3 linked regions of the Anolis sagrei genome follow. The protein of the gene in region 1 interacts with the protein of each later gene in a biochemical or structural test. Links are inferred from orthologs where the notes say so. Each region holds a gene or a part of one and is shown in the gene's direction. Other genes may lie near its edges.

What was found. The genes of interacting proteins can lie anywhere in the genome.
Region 2: the proteins of MAP2K7 (region 1) and MAPK8IP2 form a complex in vitro, tested with the Homo sapiens proteins (2 studies listed by BioGRID). The link is inferred for Anolis sagrei from reciprocal best matches to the Homo sapiens genes MAP2K7 and MAPK8IP2.
Region 3: of the proteins of MAP2K7 (region 1) and MAP3K11, one has a biochemical effect on the other in vitro, tested with the Homo sapiens proteins (2 studies listed by BioGRID). The link is inferred for Anolis sagrei from reciprocal best matches to the Homo sapiens genes MAP2K7 and MAP3K11.

Annotation. Positions count from the first base shown.
Region 1 is NC_090022.1:112,614,078-112,620,965, reverse strand, and holds the start of MAP2K7 (dual specificity mitogen-activated protein kinase kinase 7), read left to right. Parts: upstream 1-3,876; 5' UTR 3,877-3,932; coding exon 3,933-4,056; intron 4,057-6,888. Other genes in the region: volume-regulated anion channel subunit LRRC8D-like, read left to right, coding at 1-808. UniProt on the Homo sapiens protein: Dual specificity protein kinase which acts as an essential component of the MAP kinase signal transduction pathway. Essential component of the stress-activated protein kinase/c-Jun N-terminal kinase (SAP/JNK) signaling pathway.
Region 2 is NC_090025.1:199,415,049-199,422,507, reverse strand, and holds the start of MAPK8IP2 (C-Jun-amino-terminal kinase-interacting protein 2), read left to right. Parts: upstream 1-4,446; coding exon 4,447-4,510; intron 4,511-7,459. UniProt on the Homo sapiens protein: The JNK-interacting protein (JIP) group of scaffold proteins selectively mediates JNK signaling by aggregating specific components of the MAPK cascade to form a functional JNK signaling module.
Region 3 is NC_090032.1:20,098,335-20,106,063, forward strand, and holds the start of MAP3K11 (mitogen-activated protein kinase kinase kinase 11), read left to right. Parts: upstream 1-4,716; 5' UTR 4,717-4,807; coding exon 4,808-5,519; intron 5,520-7,729. UniProt on the Homo sapiens protein: Activates the JUN N-terminal pathway. Required for serum-stimulated cell proliferation and for mitogen and cytokine activation of MAPK14 (p38), MAPK3 (ERK) and MAPK8 (JNK1) through phosphorylation and activation of MAP2K4/MKK4 and MAP2K7/MKK7.

The DNA of each region.
Region 1 (6,888 bases):
TCTCTCCGAGATGGCCTGCCAGCATGTCATAGGCCGACCCAAGACCCCTGGTGCAGGAGGGTGCCAAAACCAACTGATATCACCTTCCTCTTCTCCTATTCTAGAATGGAAGGACAAAGAGCAAGGCTGGGCACTCTTTGAGAAGATCTGCAGATTCAGGGCACACACTGAGAGCGCCAGCTTGATTTACACAATCTACACTGGACAAACCATCTTCAAAGTTGCAAAGGTCCTAACTGTGCTAGGCTACACCTACAGTTATGTAGGATCCATTGCCTTTAAACACATTTGCTGGTTAGACACAGATAACCTCATTGGCTACTCTACCTTTCTTTGTACCCATAGTTTGGCTTCCATTTTGCAGAAACTGATGGCTACTTATTTATTCTTGGTGTTCCTCTATGGGCTTGTTGGGATGTACCCCCTCTTATGGCTGGTACGACAACCGCTGCTCAAGTATTCTTTTAAGCAAATGCAAGAAGGCAGCCACTTAATTGACATCCCAGAGGTATACAATGATTTTGCTTTCCTGCTGCACATGGCTGACCAGTGTGACCAACTATACTCATGGCGCTTTGCCATCTTCCTTTCAGCAATGAGTGGGAGCTGCCCTTCAGATGCTGATCTTGACCATGATTTGGGTATTGGAGGCTGGAGAGGACATAATTTTCTTACCTTACTTACCAACACACAAACGCTTCCCAAATCAAAGCTTGGTAAAGTTCTTTTATGGGACACCCCCCAGAATCTCCCCACACCCACAAGTGTCTGGCAGAAGCGGTTGGGGACTTGCTGTCTAAAGAAGTAACTCTTTAGTAAATCCACTGCAAGGGGATTTGGGGACTCGCTGTCCAAAAAGTAACATTTTCCAGGCTACTGAATAAGGACTCTAAACTTTCCACCAAACCCATCATTTCCAATATCATAAAGGACAACACACCAGAACAACTCAACTCTTTTGAAAAGAGTCAAAGAGACAAGATGATCCACATCTGTCTGGTTTTAAGTTTTCTTTTTCTTCCAGTCAGGGCAATTTTTGGTAATGTTATGTTTCCATAAATTCTTAAGACACAATAGGCGAGCAAAAGATATATGAGACTTGTGTCACTGAAGGACCTAAGTGGGAAAAACATTCAGATCATACGAAGAAATGTCACTAAAACACTGCAGCAGCCTAGCAATTATTAAGGCAATTGGAAAAGAGGAAGCTTACTAATGGACTAGTAGTGTGGTGTAAAGTAAGATATAGCTTCTTACATGATATTAACTTCCCACAATGTACCCAATTTGGGAAAAAAAACACAAGGAAAATTTTACAGGAATATAAAAAAGTCGGTTTTACTAATGGGAAAGTCTATTGCCACTAAAAGTACTGTTAATACATAGGAGCTCAATGTTACTGTTGTACCTTAGCATAACATAGTATAGTATTTTCAGATGTCACCAGACTCCACTGGCTGCCTGTCTATTTCCAGGCACAATTCAAAGTGCTGGTTATGACCTAGATCAGGCATGGGCAAACTTGGGCCCTCGAGGCATTTTGGACTCCAACTCCCACATTTTGTAACAGCCTACTGGCTGTTACGAATTGTGGGAGTTGATGTCCAAAACACCTGGAGGGCCCAAGTTTGCCCATGCCTACCTTAGATGGTTCAGGTCCAGGCTATTTGGCTGACTGCGTGCCTTTGTACAAAGCTGTCTGAGTCCTGCGATCTTCAGGAAGGCCCTTCTCTCAGTCCCACCTCCACTCCAAGCTTGGTTTGTGGGGACAAGAGAGCGGGTCTTCCTTCTCGGTGGCTGCCCCACGACTCTGGAACTCCCTTCTACCCAGCAAAGGCAGATTGGCTCCCTCCCTGCTGTCCTTCTGGCGGCAGGCTAAAACCTTCTTCTTCAGGCAGGCTTTTAAAGAAGAAGGCCTTTAAGATCATTTCGGGGGGTGCTGTGGTTTTATATATTCTTATGGTTTAAATCTGAATTGTTTTTAATACTGATGATGTTTAATACTGTTTTAATATTTTTAAATTTTAAATTATATTGTAATGCTTTTAATGCTAGATGCTTTGAGTATCCTTATGGAGAGAAAAAGTGGGATATAAATAAACATCATAATACTAATGATATTAACAATTTTGTGATCCCTGATGTCACCAGCTCCCAAGAGACTGTAACTACAGCTTGGTGGCAATTCTTTTTCTTGGATGGTGCATTATTTCTTAACATGCCTTTTCTATTAGAAGTCCAGTCTTCCCCTTTTAAAAATGTGAGACAGAGATTCAAAGCAACTAACAAAGACCTAGTTCTCTGAGCTTTCAAACTGGGTCTCTTTAATCATTGTGTTACAAAAAATATGTACTGAGGCATCTATTGGTATCTGATGTATCTCACAATGACAGCATATAAAGCAGCTTCTCAAATGCCACAGACTGTGATCCCCAGTGACACTTTATTATGAAGTCAAAAATGGTACCAAGTTGTTTGTTCCTCATTTTTATTTCTTGCCTTCCTATTTGATTCATCAAGTGGGATCTGGAGGAAATGTGTACAGAACTGGAACTGCAGATATGCTATTTTTCAGGATTACAGGCAAGAGAGACACATACCAAGGATATTCCATTCTGACTTTCTGGTTTTAATTTCCAGTTGACACGCAACATTAATTTGGTTTCAAAAATACATAGGCAAAGGTTGAGACTCTCAAGCGGATACACTGCTTTCTGCATCACCATTTTGGCCACAAAGCCTCCAGGGAGTCCTTCTCTACTTGGGCATCAGAGACAGCACTGTGTTGCCTCTCCCGCCAAAAAGGTTTGCTAGAATCAGCCAAGATGATCCCACTTCTGCTCCAAGCTCCTGCAATCCTATGTTTTCCCAGAATCTTGGGGATTGTAGTTTTACAAAGACTGCTGGTGCTTCATCAAATCACAAAATAATAATAATAAACTCTGGCACAAGCCAGTCAAGGTGGTCCCAGTGGTGATCGGCACACTGGGTGCAGTGCCTAAAGACCTTGGTCTGCACTTAAACACAATCGGTGCTGAGAAAATTACCATCTGCTAGCTGCAGAAGGCCACCTTACTGGGATCTGCATGCATTATATGCGGATACATCACACAGACCTAGACACTTGGGAAATGTCCGACGTATGATCCAATACAACAGCCAGCAGAGTGTCTGCTATGGACTCATCTTGTTGCATTTCAAATAATAATAAAAATTAATATCACTTAATATTCTTTATATTCAACATTTAATGTTATTTAAAAATAATAATAATAATAAACAAGTGTTTCGATTTGTGATTTTGTGATACGAAATCCAGCATATATATCTCGTTTGCTGTGACACACTGTGTCAGTAAAATAATAATACACTTTTATTTATATCCCGCCACCATCTCCCAGAGGGACTCGGGGCGGCTCACACATGTCACTCAAAGTGTGACATGCAAAATACAACAAGTGCAAAATAAAACATAAACAATAAACAGTCAACACAACATCATACATTCACTATACCCCCTGGCAAAAACAATAAAATACAGAAATAAAGGATGCATACAAGTGGTATCAAACTGCATTACTTCTCCAGTGCAGATGTACCCAGTGTCTGAAAGAAAAGCTAACTTCTCTGCGACTTCCAGACGTGCTGCTCCTGTCCCTGAGAAAGTGGGGGAAGCGCATGCGCGGCAGATCTCCAACACGTCCCGTAGACCGAAGTAGACGTTCGAGCCCGGCGCATGCGCAAGAGAGGAGACTGCCAGGCAAAACAAGCGCCGGGCAAAGCCGGAGCCCAGCCTGGTTTGCGAAGGAGGAGGAGGGCGGGGGGAGGAGTACGGCGGCCGGGTTGGTTCATGTGGCGCCTGCGCAGTGCGGTGTTTGTGTATTCTGGCTGCGCGGTGGCGGCGTCGGCTCCGGGGGAGGGGGAGGGGGAAGATGGCGGCGTCCTCGCTGGAGCAGAAACTGTCCCGCCTGGAAGCCAAGCTGAAGCAGGAGAACAGGGAGGCCCGGAGGCGCATCGACCTCAACTTGGAGATCAGTCCGGCCCGGGCTCGGCCTAGTAAGGGAGGGCCTGAGGGGGGAGCGCTTCCGCGGAAGGGCCCAGTGTCGGGTGGGACGGGCGGCGCGGAGGAGGGCGCCTGAGCCGAGGGGAGGCCTGGCCTCGCTTAAGCAGGGGCTCGGACTGGGCTGGCGGGGCAGGAGGACTGAGGGGAGAAGTGGGGCCGGGGAAAGAAAGAGAGCAAGGCGTGTGTGTGGGGGGAGATCTTCGTGGCGAGGGAGACTCTCATAGCAGACAAGGCCGGCGTGCGGCGGGGGAGCCACATGCCTGGACTGGCCCTTATCTTTCAAGGCGACCGGTTCAGGGGGAAGGAAGGAAGGAAGGAAGGAAGGAAGGAAGGAAGGAAGGAAGGAAGGAAAGTGTCAGGAGCAAAAGGGGTGGGCCACAGAAAGTATACAGATACAGATAAAGAGATTATCTTGAACCAATGTGTTTTGTGATGGGGCAGGAGTTGTGGATGATGGCAATCAGAAATACTTTTTCTTTAAAGATGTGGGGGTCCCCTTAGTTCAGTGTTGGGATCACAACATTTAGCAACAATAAAAGGTCAATGTGTTGTCGAAGGCTTTCATGGCTGGAATCACTGGGTTGCTGTGAGTTTTCCAGGCTGTATGGCCATGTTCCAGAAGCATTCTCTCCTGAAGATTCGCCCACATCTATGGCAGGCATCCTCAGAGGTTGGAAATTCTGCAACTGAGGTTTATATATCTGTGGAATGTCCAGGCTGGGAGAAAAACTCTGGTCTGTTTGAGGCAGGTGGGAATGTTGAAACTGATCACCTTTAAATGGGGCCACAAAGTGAATTCCGTGACATGCGAATGTGGAGAAGAGCAAACCACAGACCACCTATTACAATTCAGTCTGAGCCCTCCCACATGCACAATGGAGAACCTTCTAATAGGCACTCTAAGTGACAAGCTACTGTCAAAGGACATTTAATATAATGCTTTGTGTGTGTTTTTAACTTTGTGTTTTTAAATACATTGCAACTGTACCCTTGGGCTGCTTCTGATACAATAAATAAATGAAAACCTTAATTTCAACAGAAAGGAGGAAACCATGAAAAAGAACAAAATCTGGCTACCAGTATTAAAAAACTCTAAAATCAGGACAGTTAATAAAGAACAACATTCACAAACGGGAATTCCAGACAAAAAACAATCAGGGCCAGCTAATTACCTCCTAACAAACTATTCCCCCAGGCATGAAGCAGCCAAACTTGGAAGCTGCAAGGTTATTCAATGCTACTCAAGTTGATCAAGTGCAACATTCACAGTTGCCTCCAACTGACAAGAGTTTTTTCTCCCATCTTGGACATTCCACAGATATATAAAACCCACTTGCCTAGTTTCCAACAAACCCCTCAACCTCTGAGGATGCCTGCCATAGATGTGGGTGAAACATCAGGAGAGAATGCTTCTGGAACATGGCCATACAGCTCATTAAACTCACAGCAACCCAATAAAAGGTTAATTCATGATGTCAGTGTTATTTTAGACATTTACACAAATGTTAGTAAGAACATTTGTGTTTACAGTGGACTCTACAGAAAATACTTCAGCTGCATTTCATAAGAAAGGAAAATCAGACTGTTTAACTAGCCTTGTAAATGCAGATTTTTTATCTGTGAATTTTTATTTCTTTTTTATACCTATTTTATATACCTTTATAGCCGGGGTTGCATAAAACTTTCAAAGGCAGAAAGAGGTTGCAAGTGGGAAAAGTTTAAGAAACCCTGGTGTAGTGAAACAAATTACTTGGGAGAACTGGATTTGGGATCCCTCAGATCACAGCACTGGAAGGAGGGGTTGGGGGTGGATTGAAAGTTTGGTGTGCAGAAATAGCTACAAGTGAAGTTCAGTTCAGAGTCATTCTGTCATATTTGTCTAATATTTTTGTATGGATGAAAGTTTACAGATGTTTTAGAATAATGAACTAAATTCTAACTTAAGAATTAGAAAAGTCTTGAGTGTAAGTGTCAGACAGTGTTCCTCTGATTTCTCATACCTACAGTATAGGCCTTTTTCCTTGGCTGAAATTAAAGAGTCTCTGCTTCCCTGCATCCTGTTTTCAGTTCTGAAAACAATGGTACAGCATTGTCCTTGAAGAACAGTCTAGTTAATATTGTCTCTTGGAGCAAGGTGCTCTCTGTTGTGAGGACTTTTCTGGACTACAGTGATGTTTTTGCGATCCGCATGCAGTAGCCAAATGTAGAATAAGTTAAGAACATAAGAAGAGCTACTTGGATGAAGCTCATCAAGTTAGGCATGTAGTTCCTACAATGGACCAACCACATTTCTATGGGGAGCCCTTAGTTAGGATGTAAATGTAGTATTGCTATCACATTTATATTCTCCAACAACTGGTCTTGAAATATATACTTCCTTTGATACTAGAAGTAGTTTGTAGCCTCCAAAATGACTGGTTAGTGATAACTATATCTTCCATGACGTTACCTAATTCCTGTTTATATATTTTCACATTTATAGCAATTGCTGCATATTGTGGTGGCATATTCCCTAATTTAAATATTTGGTGTGTGAATAAATGTTTTGTCCGGTCTGTTTTGAATTGCCTACAGTTTGGTTTGCTTGAATAATCCAGCGTTTTAGTAATATATGAGAAGATGAAAAGCTTTGCCTGCCTGCTTTTTGCCCACTTTGCTTATATGTATACATACACATCAGGAGCCTTCCTGCTTACCACTTCTCCAGGTTTTGTTTTCTTAAACCAAATGTTGTAACTTTTTCTCCTAGGGAAATGGCTCTAATTATTTTATTATTTTGATTGCCCTTTCTGCGCCTTTTGAAGTTGTACTATTCTTTTTGAGTT
Region 2 (7,459 bases), on another chromosome or scaffold:
ATTTCCTATTTCTCCTTCCTCCCTCTCTCCTTCCCTGCTTCTTTCCTTCTATCCACTCGTTCCTTCATTCTGTTCATTAAGCCCTCCCTCCCTTCTCTGCTTCCTTCCTTGCCTCTTTCATCCCTTCCTTCATTCTCTCAATCCTTCCCTTTCTTCTGGCCTTCCATCTATCCATCCTTTTTCTTCCCTCTCTCCCTCTTCCTTCTTATTCCTTCCTCCTTTCTTTCCTTCCTCACTTGCCTCCTTCCTTCCCGTTCCTTTCCTTCCTTCAGTCCATTCTTTCCTCCCTCACTATTCTTTTCTATTCTTTCTTCCTCCCTCCCTCCTTCCTTCTTTCCTATGCCTGCCTGCCTTCCTTCCTTCCTTCCTTCCTTCCTTCCTTCCTTCCTTCCTTCCTTCCTTCCATCAGTCCAGTCATTTTCTTCGTCCTATTAAGCCCTTCCTTCCTTCTTCCTTTCTTCCTTCCCTTCCACCACCCCTCCCTCTTCTGGCCTTCCTTCCTTCCTTCCTTCCTTCCTTCCTTCCTTCCTTCCTTCCTTCCTTCCACCTTCTCAATGCCTTACTTCCTGTTCCTTCCCTTGCTCCTTCCTTCTTCCCTCCTTTCCTTCCTCCCCCCCAATTTTCTCCTTCCCTCTTTCTTTCCCCCTCTCTCCTGACATTCCTTCCTTCCATCCCTCCTTTTCTTCCCTTTCTCCTTACTCCCTTCAATCCATTATTCCCTCCCTCCCTCTTCTTTCCTATTCCTTTCCTCCCTCCCTATTCCTTCATATTTCCTTCCTTCTAATTCCTTTCCTTGCTCCTTCCTTCCTTCCTTCCTTCCTTCCTTCCCTCAACCCATTATTTCCTTCCTTCCATCAGGTGTTCCTTCTTTCTTTCTTTCTTTCCTTCCTTCCTTCCTTCCTTCCTTCCTTCCTTCCTTCTTCCCTCCTCCTTCCCTCCTATTCTTTCTTTCTCTGAACTTTTCCCTTTCTCCTGGCCTTCCATCCATCCATCCATCCAACCAACCTTTTCCTCCCTTCCTCCCCATTCCTCCCTCCCTCCCTTCCTTCCTTGCTTCCTTTGTTCTTCCCTCCCCCTTCCTTCCTCCCTCCCTATTTTTTCTTTCTCTGCCCCTTTCCCTCTCTCCTGGCCTTCCTTCCTTCCATCCCTCCTTTTCTCCCCTTTCTCCTTCCTCCCTTCAATCTATTATTTCCTTCCTTACATCAGGCCCTTCCCTCCTTCCTCCCTATTCTTTCTTTCTCTGCTCCTTTCCCTTTCTCCTTCCTTCCTTCCTTCCTTCCTTCCTTCCTTCCTTCCCTCCTTCCTTCCTTCTTCCCTCCCCCTTTCCTCCTTCCTATTCTTTCTTTCTCTGCCCCTTTCCCTTTCTCCTTCCTTCCTTCCTTTCCTTCTTCTCTCCTTCCCTATTCCTTCCTATTTCCTCCTTCTTCTCTCCTTCCCTATTCCTTCCTATTTCCTCCTTCTAATTCCTTCCCTTGCTCCTTTCCTTTCTTCCTTCAATCTATTATTTCCTTCCTTCCATCAGGCTCTTCCTTCCTTAGGTTCTTCCCCTTTCCTCCCTATTCCTTCTTTCTCTGCCCCTTTTCCTTTCTCCTGGCCTTTTTTCCTTCCTTCCTTCCTTCCTTCCTTCCTTCCTTCCTTCCCTCCCTCCCTCCTTCCTCCCTCCCCCCCTTTCCTCCTTCCTCCCTATTCTTTCTTTCTCTGCTCCTTTCCCTTTCTCCTTCCTTCCTTCCTTCCTTCCTTCTTTCCTCCCCCTTTCCTCCTTCCTCCCCATTGTTTCTTTCTCTGCCCCTTTCCCTTTCTCCTTCCTTCCTTCCTTCCTTCCTTCCTTCCTTCCTTCCTTCCTTCCCTTTCCTTCTTCTCTCCTTCCCTATTCCTTCCTATTTCCTTCTTCTAATTCCTTCCCTTGCTCCTTTCCTTTCTTCCTTCAATCTATTATTTCCTTCCTTCCTTCTTCCCCTTTCTGCTTTCCTCCTTATTCCTTCTTTCTCTGCCCCTTTCTCTTTCTCCTGGCCTTCCTTCCTTCTTCCCTCCCCCCCTTCCCTCCTTCCTCCCTATTCCTTCTTTCTCTGCACCTTTTCCTTTCTTCTGGCCTTCCTTCCATCTATCCATCCATCCATCCAACCTACTTTTTCCTCCCTTCCTCCTCATCCCTCCCTCCCTCCCCTCCCTCCCTCCCTTCCTTTCTCCTTCCTACTAGTCCTTCTTTCTCTGCTCCTTTCCCTTTCTCCTGGCCTTCCTTCCATCCTTCCTTCCATTCTCTCAATTCCTTCCTCCCTAATTCTTCCTCTGCTCCTTTCCCTTTCTCCTTCCTTCCTTCCTTCCTTCCTTCCTTCCTTCCTTCCTCTCTCCCTCCCCCCTTTCCTCCTTCCTCCCTATTCTTTCTTCCTCTGCTCCTTTCCCTTTCTCCTGGCCTTCCTTCCTTCCTTCCTTCCTTCCTCTCTCCCTCCCCCTTTCCTCCTTCCTCCCTATTCTTTCTTCCTCTGCTCCTTTCCCTTTCTCCTGGCCTTCCTCCCTTCCTTCCTCTCTTCCTCTCTCCCTCCCCCCTTTCCTCCTTCCTCCCTATTCTTTCTTCCTCTGCTCCTTTCCCTTTTCCTTCCTTCCTTCCTTCCTTCTTCCTTCCTTTCTCTCTCCCTCTCCCTTTCCTCCTTCCTCCCTATTCTTCCTTTCTCTGCTCCTTTCCCTTTCTCCTGGCCTTCCTTCCTTCCTTCCTTCCTTCCTTCCTTCCTTCCTTCCTTCCTCTCTCCCTCCCCCCTTTCCTCCTTCCTCCCTATTCATTCCTCTGCTCCTTTCCCTTTCTCCTTCCTTCCTTCCTTCCTTCTTCCTTCTTTCCTTCTTCCTCTCTCCCCTCCCCCTTTCCTCCTTCCTCCTATTCTTTCTTCTCTGCTCCTTTCCCTTTCTCCTTCCTTCCTTCTTTCCTTCCTTCCTCTCTCCCTCCCCCCTTTCCTCCTTCCTCTCTATTCTTTCTTCCTCTGCTCCTTGCCCTTTCTCCTTCCTTCCTTCCTTCCTTCCTTCCTTCCTCTCTCCCTCCCACCTTTCCTCCTTCCTCCCTATTCTTTCTTCCTCTGCTCCTTTCTCCTTCCTTCCTTCCTTCCTTCCTTCCTTCCTTCCTCTCTCCTCCCCCCTTTCCTCCTTCCTCCCTATTCTTTCTTCCTCTGCTCCTTTCCCTTTCTCTGGCCTTCCTTCCTTCCTTCCTTCCTTCCTTCCTTCCTCTCTCCTTCCCCTTTCCTCCTTCCTCCCTATTCTTTCTTCCTCTGCTCCTTTCCCTTTCTCCTTCCTTCCTTCCTTCCTTCCTTCTTTCCCTTCTCCTCTCTCCCTCCCCTTTCCTCTTTCCTCCCCATTGTTCTTTCTCTGCCCCTTTCCCTTTCTCCTTCCTTCCTTCCTTTCCTTTCCTTCTTCTCTCCTTCCCTATTCCTTCCTATTTCCTCCTTCTAATTCCTTCCCTTGCTCCTTTCCTTTCTTCCTTCAATCTATTGTTTCCTTCCTTCCTTCCTTCTTCCCCTTTCCTCTTCTTTCCTTTCTTCTGGCCTTCCTTCCATCTATCATCCATCTATCCATCCATCCATCCAACCTACCTTTTCCTGCCTTCCTCCACATCCCTCCCTCCCCCCTTCCTTCTTCCTTCCTTCCTTCCTTCCTTCCTTCCTACTATTCCTTCTTCCTCTGCTCCTTTCCCTTTCTCCTGGCCTTCCTTCCATCCTCCTTCCATTCTCTCCATTCTTCCTTCTTCCCTAATTCTTCCTCTGCTCCTTTCCCTTTCTCCTTCTTTCTTCCTTCTTCTCTCCCTCCCCTTTCCTCTTCCTCCCTTTCTTCCTTTCTCTGCCCCTTTCCTTTCTCCTGGCCTTCCTTCCTTCCTTCCCTCCACCCTTTTCTTCCTTCCTTCCTTCCATCCTTCTCTTTCCTTCCTCCCTTCAGCACTGGACAGCGCCCTCTTTCAGCACCTTCCCGGGAGGGACAGCGCCAAGCTTGCCTGCCTTGAGCAGGAGAGGAGGAGGAGGAGGAGGAAGGCCACAGACAAGGCCGCCCCCCCACCCCCCAAAAAGGAGGGTCTGGCGGTGACGTCGTAGTTGTTTCACGGGGGGGGGGTGTCCCTTGCTTGTGATCTGCCCCTCCTCCCCTCCCTCCCTCCCCCTCCCCTTCCGCACCCAAGGGCGGGGCCTGGCTGCCCCCTCTTTCCCTCCTCCTCCTCCCTTTCTCCTTCCCTCTCTTCCTCCTTTCCTTCCTTCCTCCGGTGTTTTTCTGGGGCGGAGGAGGGTGAGGCGGGTGCGCCATGGCTGCGGCGGATCTCAGCGCCTCCCTCGAGAGACAGAAAGGCCCCAAGAGGGGGAGAAGCAGCCCCCCCAGCCCCAGTGAAGAAGGAGGGGAAGACAGCCCCCCCCCCCCCGCCTCCATCTCTCCCTTCTCTATTTATCTATCCCTCCATCTCTCTCTCTCTCTGTCTCTGCGAAGATGGCGGACCGGGCGGAGATGTTCTCTCTCTCCACCTTCACTCGCTCTCGCCGCCGGGGTGCAGGTGAGGAGGGGGCGGCGATGGGGGGAGGGGGGGACACGGTGGGCGAGGAGGGAGGGGGAAGGGAGGCGCACCCTGACATGGAAATGAAGCACCCCCCCCTTTTGGGCCTACCTCGGGAAAAGAGGAAAGAGGGAGAGAGGGGGGGGGGGTCTCCATTGGAGAGGGAAGGGTCTGCTTCTAAGGTTGGGGGCTTCTGCTTGGGTTGAGAAGGGGAGGGGGAGGGAGAGGGAGAGACGTCGGCGACGCAGCAAGGGCTGTCTTGATGCCTATTTGTCGGAATGGGTTTGGGCCTCTCTCGATGTCTCTCAATGGGAAGGAAGACCCCCCCCCCTTTGGGCCTTCCATTGGGGCAGGAAAGGGGTCTTTCTTCCCCCAATGAGAGGGCTTCTAAGGCCTCTCTTTGGTACATATAAGGGGGGCAATGAAGATAATGACAAAGTCGCAGGAAGGTCTGCCTGTTGTATGTCGGGGTGGGAAGACCCTCCAGGGCTGAGCTTCAATGGAAGGAAGACCCCCCTTTGGGCTTCCATTGGGCCAGGAAAGGGGGTCTCTCTTCCCCCCATTAAGAGGGGCTTCTGGGCCTCTCTTTGGTTCGTATAAAGGGGGCAATGAAGATAATGACAAAGTCGCAGGAAGGCCTGCCTGTTTGTATGTCGGGTGGAAAGACTCTCAAGGCTGGGCTTCAATGGGAAGGAAGACCCCCCTTTGGCCTCCATTTGGGGCAGGAAAGGGGGTCTCTCTTCCCCCATTGAGAGGGGCTTCTAAGGCCTCTCTTTGGTTCGTATAAGGGGGGTAATGAAGATAATGACAATGTTGCAGGAAGGTCTGCCTGTTTGTATGTTGGGTGGGAAGACCCTCCAGGGCTGAGCTTCAATGGGAAGGAAGACCCCCTTTGGGCTTCCATTGGGGCAGGAAAGGGGGTCTCTCTTCTCCCCACTGAGAGAGGCTTCTAAGGCTTCTCCTTGGTTTCTACAAGGGGGGAATGAAGATAATATTGACAAAGTCGCAGGAAGGTCTGCCTGCTTGTATGTCAGGTGGGAAGCCCCCCCAAGGCTGGGTTTCAATGGGAAGGAAGACCCCCCCCCCTTTGGGCCTCCATTGGGGCAGGAAAGGGGTCTCTCTCTCTCTCTCTATCCCCCATTGAGAAGGGCTTCTGGGCCTCTCTTTGGTTCGTATAAGGGGGGCAATGAAGATAATGACAAAGTCACAGGAAGGCCTGCTGTTTGTATGTCGGGTGGAAAGACCCTCCAGGGCTGGGCTTCAATGGGAAGACCCCCCCTTTTGGGCCTCCATTTGGGGCAGAAAGGGGGTCTCTCTTCCCCACTGAGAGAGGCTTCTGGCCTTTCTTGGTTTGTTAAGGGGGGGGAGGAATGAAAATAATGGTCTGACTGTTTGTATTTCGAGTGGGAAGTCCCTCCAAGGCTGGGTCGGGGGCTCAAACTCTCTCTCTTAATGGGGAGGAAGACCCCTTTGGGCCTCCATTGGGCAGGAAAGGGGGTCTCTCTTCTTCCATCGAGAGGGGCTTCTGGGCCTCTCTTTGGTTTGTATAAAGGGGGCAATGAAGATATTGACAAAGTCACAGGAAGGTCTGTCTGTTTGTTTCTTGGGTGGGAAACCTTCCTATGACTGGGTTTGGTCTCTCTCTCTCAATGGAAAAGAAGACCCCTTTGGGCCTCCATTGGGGCAGGAAAAGGGTCTCTCTTCCCCCACTGAAAGAGGCTTCTGAGCCTTTAGTTGGTTTGTATAAGGGGGGGGGGATGAAGAAGGTCTGCCTGTTTGTATTTCGAGTGGGAAATCCCTCCAGGGCTGGGTTGGGGACTCAATCTCTCTCTTTCTCTAATGGGAAAGAAGACCCCCTTTGGGCCTCTATTGGGGCAGGAAAGGGGGTCTCTCTCTCTCTTTCCCCATTGAGAAGGGCTTCTGGGCCTCTCTTTGGTTCGTATAAAGGTGGCAATGAAGATAATGACAGGAAGGTCTGCCTGTTTGTATGTCTGGTGGGAAGTCCCTCCAGGGCTGGGCTTCAATGGGAAAGAAGACACCCTTTGGGCCTCCATTTGGGACAGGAAAGGGGGTCTCCCTCTCTCTCTCTTCCCCCATTGAGAGAGGTTTCTAGGCCTCTCTTTGGTTTGTATAAGGGAGGAATGAAGATAATGACAATGTTACAGGAAGGCCTGCCTGTTTGTATGTCAGGTGGAAAGACCCTCCAGGGCTGGGTTTCAATGGAAGGAAGACCCCCCCTTTGGGCCTCCATTGGGGCAGGAAAGGGGGTCTCTCTCTCTCTTCCCCCATTGAAAGAGGTTTCTGGGCCTCTCTTTGGTTTGTATAAATGAGGGAGAATGAAGGTATTGACAAAGTCTCAGGAAGATCTGCCTGTTTGTTTCTCGGGTGGGAAGACCTCCAGGGATGGGCTTCAATGGGAAGGAAGACCCCCCCCCCTTTGGGCCTCCACTAGGACAGGAAAGGGATCTCTCTTCCCCATTAAGAGGGGCTTCTGGGCCTCGGTCTGCCTGTTTGTATGTTGGGTGGGAAGCTCCTCCAAGGCTGGGTTTCAATGGGAAGAAGACCCCCCCCCCTTTGGGCCTCCATTGGGGCAGGAAAGGGGGTCTTTCTTCCCCCAATGAGAAGGGCTTCTGGGCCTCTTCTTGGTTTCTACAAGGGGGCAATGAAGATATTGACAAAGTCGCAGGAAGGCTGGCCTGTTTGTATGTCAGGTGGGAAGACCCTCCAAGGCTGGGCATCAATGAGAAATAAGACCCCCTTTGGGCCTCTATTTGGAACACAAAAGGGGGTCTCTCTTCCCCCATTGAGAGAGGCTTCTGGACCTTCCTTGGTTTGTATAGGGGGGGGGAGGATTGAAAATAATGGTCTGCCTGTTTGTATTTTGAGTGGGAAGTCCCTCCAAGGCTGGGTCAGGGGCTCCATCTCTCTCTCTCTCTTAATGGGAAAGAA
Region 3 (7,729 bases), on another chromosome or scaffold:
AGCGGCTTATTCCTATTTCTATTATTATTATTATTATTATTATGTTTATATATACCCCGCTTTATCTCTCCCGAAGGATATTATTATTAACTATGTTATCACTTATATTGTTATTACTATATTATTATTAATATGTTATTATTACTATTATTAACATATTATTAACATATTATTACTATTATTATTATCTCTCCCAAAGACGACTCAAAGCAGTTTACATGAAATTATTATTATTATTATTATTATTATTATTAGATGTATTTATATACCATTTATCTCATCCAGAAGAGACTCAAAGCGGCTTATTCCTATTCGTATTTGTATTTTTATTTGTATTATTATTATTATTATTACTATTATTATTTCTCCCAAAGAAGACTCAAAGCGGCTTACATGAAATTATTATTATTATTAGATTTATTTATATGTAGCATTTTATCTCATCCGGAAGAGACTCAAAGCAGCTTATTCTTATTTGTATTATTATTATTATTATTATTATTATTATTATTATTATGATGTTTATATATACCTCACTTAATCTCTCCCAAAGGAGACTCAAAGTGGCTTACATGATATTATTATTATTATTATTATTATTATTATTATTAGATTTATTTATATACCATTTTATATACCATTTTATCTCATCCGGAAGAGACTCAAAGCGGCTTATTCGTATTATTATTATTATTATTATTATTATTATTATTATTATTATTATGTTTATATATACCTCACTTTATCTCTCCCAAAGGAGACTCAAAGTGGCTTACATGATATTATTATTGTTATTGTTATTATTAGATTTATTTGTATACCATTTTATATACCATTTTATCTCATCCAGAAGAGACTCAGAGCGGCTTATTCTTATTATTCGTATTATTATTATTATTATTATTATTATTATGTTTATATATACCTCACTTTATCTCTCCCAAAGGAGACTCAAAGTGGCTTACATGATATTATTATTCTTACTATTATTAGATTTATTTATACTTCATTTTACACATATTATATTGATAATAATGTTGTAATCCAATACAATATAATACTACTAATAATACAATATAATAAATATAGATTTTATATTACCTGTATTATTACTAATAATATTATAGTATGGTGGTATAGTACAATATTGGAATGTATGGTACTAATATTTATATTACATGTATTATTATTAATAATATTATTATAGTATAGTGGTATAGTACAATATTGGAATGTATGGTATTAATATTTATATTACATGTATTATTACTAATCATATTCTAGTGTAGTGGTATGGAATCTATGGTACTAGTATTTATATTACATGTATTATTACTAATAATATTCTAGTATAGTGGTGTAGTACAATATTGGAATGTATGGTAGTAATATTTATATTACATGTATTATTATAACTAATAATATTATGTTATAGTGGTATAGTACAATGTTGGAATGTATGGTACTAAAGTTTATATTACATGTATTATTACTAATAATATTATAGTATGGTGGTATAGTACAATATTGGAATGTATGGTACTAATATTTATATTACATGTATTATTATTAATAATATTATAGTATAGTGGTATAGTACAATATTGGAATGTATGGTATTAATATTTATATTACATGTATTATTACTAATCATATTCTAGTGTAGTGGTATGGAATCTATGGTACTAGTATTTATATTACATGTATTATTACTAATAATATTATAGTATAGTGGTATAGTACAATATTGGAATGTATGGTACTAATATTTATATTACATGTATTATTACTAATAATATTATATTATAGTGGTGTAGTACAATATTGGAATGTACGGCACTAATATTTATATTACATGTATTATTACTAATAATATTCTAGTATAGTGGTGTAGTACAATATTGGAATGTACGGCACTAATATTTATATTACATGTACTAATATTTATATTACATGTATTATTACTAATAATATTATTACAGTATAGTGGTATAGTACAATATTGGAATGTATGGTATTAATATTTATATTACATGTATTATTACTAATAATATCTAGTGTAGTGGTATGGAATGTATGGTACTAGTATTTATATTGCATGTATTATTACTAATAATATTCTAGTATAGTGGTATAGTACAATATTGGAATGTATGGTACTAGTATTTATATTACATGTATTATTACTAATAATATTATTATAGTATAGTGGAATAGTACAATATTGGAATGTATGGTACTAGTATTTATATTACATGTATTATTACTAATAATATTCTAGTACAGTGGTATAGTACAATATTGGAATGTATGGTTCTAATATTTATATTACATGTATTATTACTAATAATATTCTAGTATAGTGGTATAGTACAATATTGGAATGTATGGTACTAGTATTTATATTACATGTATTATTACTAATAATATTCTAGTATAGTGGTATAGTACAATATTGGAATGTATGGTACCAATATTTATATTACATGTATTATTACTAATAATATTATTATAGTATAGTGGAATAGTACAATATTGGAATGTATGGTACTAATATTTATATTACATGTATTATTACTAATATTATTATTATAGTATAGTGGTGTAGTACAATATTGGAATGTACGGCACTAATATTTATATTACATGTACTAATATTTATATTACATGTATTATTGCTAATAATATTATAATATAGTGGAATAGTACAATATTGGAATGTATGGTACTAATATTTATATTACATGTATTATTACTAAGAATATTCTAGTATAGTGGTATAGTACAATATTGGAATGTATGGTACTAATATTTATATTACATGTATTATTATTAATAATATTATAGTATAGTGGTATAGTACAATATTGGAATGTATGGTGCTAATATTTATATTACATGTATTATTATTAATAATACTATAGTATAGTGGAATAGTACAATATTGGAATGTATGGTACTAATATTTATATTAAATGTACTATTACTAATAATATTCTAGTATAGTGGTATAGTACAATATTGGAATGTATGGTACTAATATTTATATTACATGTATTATTATTAATAATACTATAGTATAGTGGAATAGTACAATATTGGAATGTATGGTACTAATATTTATATTACATGTATTATTACTAAGAATATTCTAGTATAGTGGTGTAGTACAATATTGGAATGTACGGCACTAATATTTATATTACATGTACTAATATTTATATTACATGTATTATTGCTAATAATATTATAGTATAGTGGAATAGTACAATATTGGAATGTATGGTACTAATATTTATATTACATGTACTAATATTTATATTACATGTATTATTACTAATAATATTATTACAGTATAGTGGTATAGTACAATATTGGAATGTATGGTATTAATATTTATATTACATGTATTATTACTAATAATATCTAGTGTAGTGGTATGGAATGTATGGTACTAGTATTTATATTGCATGTATTATTACTAATAATATTATTACAGTATAGTGGTATAGTACAATATTGGAATGTATGGTACTAATATTTATATTACATATCATATTATAGTATAGTGGTGTAGTACAATATTGGAATGTATGGTACTAGTATTTATATTACATGTATTATTACTAATAATATTCTAGTATAGTGGTGTAGCACAATATTGGAATGTACGGCACTAATATTTATATTACATGTATTATTGCTAATAATATTATAGTATAGTGGAATAGTACAATATTGGAATGTATGGTACTAATATTTATATTACATTCATTATTACTAATAATATTCTAGTGTAGTGTTATGGAATGTATGGTACTAGTATTTATATTACATGTATTATTACTAATAATATTATATTATAGTGGTATAGTACAATATTGGAATATATGGTACTAATATTTATATTACATTCATTATTACTAATAATATTCTAGTGTAGTGTTATGGAATGTATGGTACTAGTATTTATATTACATGTATTATTACTAATAATATTATAGTATAGTGGAATAGTACAATATTGGAATATATGGTACTAATATTTATATTACATGGATTATTACTAATAATATTCTAGTGTAGTGTTATGGAATGTATGGTACTAGTATTTATATTACATGTATTATTACTAATAATATTATATTATAGTGGTATAGTACAATATTGGAATGTATGGTAGTAATATTTATATTACATGTATTATTATTACTAATAATATTATGTTATAGTGGTATAGTACAATGTTGGAATGTATGGTACTAAAGTTTATATTACATGTATTATTACTAATAATATTATTATATTATAGTGATATAGTACAATATTGGAATGTATGGTACTAATATTTATATTACATGTATTATAATATTATAGTATAGTGGAATAGTACAATATTGGAATGTATGGTACCAATATTTATATTACATGTATTATTATTATTAATAATATTATAGTATAGTGGTATAGTACAATATTGGAATGTATGGTACTAATATTTATATTACATGTATTATTATTAATAATATTATAGTATAGTGGAATAGTACAATATTGGAATATATGGTACTAATATTTATATTACATGTATTATTACTACTAATATTATTATAGTATAGTGGTATAGTACAGTATTGGAATGTATGGTACTAATATTGTGCTGTGCCTATAAATGTCGTAAATAAGGCATAACATTTGTCCCCATTTCAGGTCTGCCAATGACCCCACATCGCGAGAGGGAAGATGTCCCGCCTAAGGTGATGTTGGCGACCTAGTTGTGGGCATGAGATGAGGTTCCGGCAACGCCATGGAGCCCTTGAAGAACATGTTCCGGAAGGCGACTCCGGCCACCTGGGGCTCCAGCCTCCGTAGCGGCGGTCCCGTAGCCTACGCAAACCCGGTCTGGACGGCACTCTTTGACTACGAAGCGGCCAGCAGCGACGAGCTGACCTTGCGGAAAGGCGACCTGGTGGAGGTGCTGTCGTGGGATGCGGCCATCTCGGGAGACGAGGGCTGGTGGGCCGGCAAGGTCAACGACAAAGTGGGCATCTTCCCTTCCAACTACGTCTCGCCCAAGACAGGGGGCTACGTGGGGCCCGAGGGGCCGCCCGAGGCCGACTTCCGCGACCTGAGGCTGGAGGAGGTCATCGGGGTCGGGGGCTTCGGCAAGGTCTATCGGGGCACATGGTGCGGGGAGCTGGTGGCGGTCAAGGCGGCCCGCCAGGACCCGGACGAGGACATCGGCACCACGGCCGAGCGGGTGCAGCAAGAGGCGAGGCTCTTCGCCATGCTGCAGCACCGCAACATCATCGCCCTCAAAGCCGTCTGCCTCCAGGAGCCGAACCTGTGCCTCGTGATGGAGTACGCGGCCGGGGGTCCGCTGAACCGGATGCTGGCCGGCCGCAGGATCCCCCCACACATCCTCATCAACTGGGCCGTCCAGGTCGCCCAGGGGATGCAGTACCTCCATTGCGGGGCCATCGTGCCCGTCATCCACCGCGACCTCAAGTCCAACAACGGTAAGTGGTATTCTGGCATGAGTCTTTGTGGCTGGATGGCCATCTGTTGGGAATGCTTTGATTGTGTCTTTCTGGACCAGATGACTCTCCCGTCTCTAGGATTCTACACTGGCCATTTAATGCAGTTTGAAGCTAGCTACATAACAAATTATTATTATTATTATTATTATAAACTACAAGAGAGGAGATTCCATCTGAACATGAGGAAGAACTTCCTGACTGTGAGAGCTGTTCAGCAGTGGAACTCTCTGCCCCGGAGTGAGGTGGAGGCTCCTTCTTTGGAAGCTTTTAAACAGAGGCTGGATGGCCATCTGTCAGGGGTGATTTGAATGCAATATTCCTGCTTCTTGGTAGAATGGGGTTGGACTGGATGGCCCAGGAGGTATCTTCCAACTCTAGGATTCTATGATTATTGAGTTGTAAGTTTTTTTGGCAGTATGTCCATGTTCTAGAAGCATTCTCTCCTGACGTTTCGCCTGCCTCTGTGGCAGGCATCCTCAGAGGTTGTGAGGTCCTGACAACCTCTGGGGATGCCTGCCATAGATGCAGGTGAAACGTCAGGAGAGAATGCTTCTAGAACATGGCCAGACAGCCCGAAAAACCTACAACAACCCAGTGATTCCAGCCGTGAAAGCCTTCGACAATACATCATGGGTTGGTCTGGATGGCCTTTGGAGGTCCCTTTCAACTTTATTATTATTTTGTGTTGTTGTTGTTGTTGTTGTTGTTGTTATTATACTTTGGATGAAGCAGATTGGCTATTAGGATGGCAGAACTGGGTTGGTCTGGATGGCCTTTGCGGGTCCCTTCCAACTTTATGATTATTTGTTGTTGTTGTTGTTGTTGTTGTTGTTATTATTATTATTTTGGATGCAACAGGATGGCTATCAGGACAGCAGAACTGGGTTGGTCTGGATGGCCTTTGGAGGTCCCTTCCTACTTTATGATTATATTGTGTTATTATTATTATTATATTTATACCCCACTTTAACTCTTGCAAAGAAGACTCAAAGCGACTTACATTAAATTGTTATCATTATTATTATTATATGTATTTATTTATTTATACCCTGCTCAATCTCTCCCAAAAGAGACTCAAAGCAGCTTACATTAAAGTATTATTATTATTTGAGTCAAAGGAGACTTCCATTAAATCATCATCATCATCATCATCATCTATTTATATTATTATATTTACTTATATCCCACTTTGTCAAAGGAGACTCAAAGCTGCTTACATTAAATAATAGTAATAATAAAAATTATTACATTAAATTATTATTATTATTATTCAATTATATTATTATATTTATTTATACCCCACTTTATCTCTCCCAAAGGATACTCAAAGCGGCTTACATTAAATAATAGTAATAATAATAATAATAATAATAATAATATTTATACCCCACTTTATCTCTCCCAAAGGATACTCAGTGGCTTACAGTAATAATAATAATAATAATAATAGTAATAACAATAATAATTGGGTTGTTGTAGGTTTTTTTGAGCTATATGACCATGTTCTAGAGGCATTTTCTCCTGACGTTTCGCCTGCATCTATGGCAAGCATCCTCAGAGGTAGTGAGGTAGGAGAAAATGCCTCTAGAAAATGGCCATATAGCCCGAAAAAACCTACAACAACCCAGTGATTCTGGCCATGAAAGCTTTCGACAATTCAATAATAATAATAATAATAATAATAATAATAATAATAATAATAATGATAAATTTATACCCCACTTTATCTCTTCCAAAGGAGACTCACAGCAGCATACATATAATAATAATAATAATAATAATAATAATAATAAATTTATACCCCACTTTATCTCTCCCAAAGGATACTCAAAGCAGCTTACATTAAATAATAATAATAATAATAATAATAATAATAATAATAATATATTTATACCCCACTTTATCTCTCCCAAAGGATACTCAAAGCAGCTTACATTAAATAATAATAATAATAATAATAATATATTTATACCCCACTTTATCTCTCCCAAAGGAGACTCAAAGCAGCTTACATTAAATAATATTAATAGTAATAATAATAATATATTTATACCCCACTTTATCTCTCCCAAAGGATACTCAAAGCAGCTTACATTAAATAATAATAATAATAATAATAATATATTTATACCCCACTTTATCTCTCCCAAAGGATACTCAAAGCAGCTTACATTAAATAATAATAATAA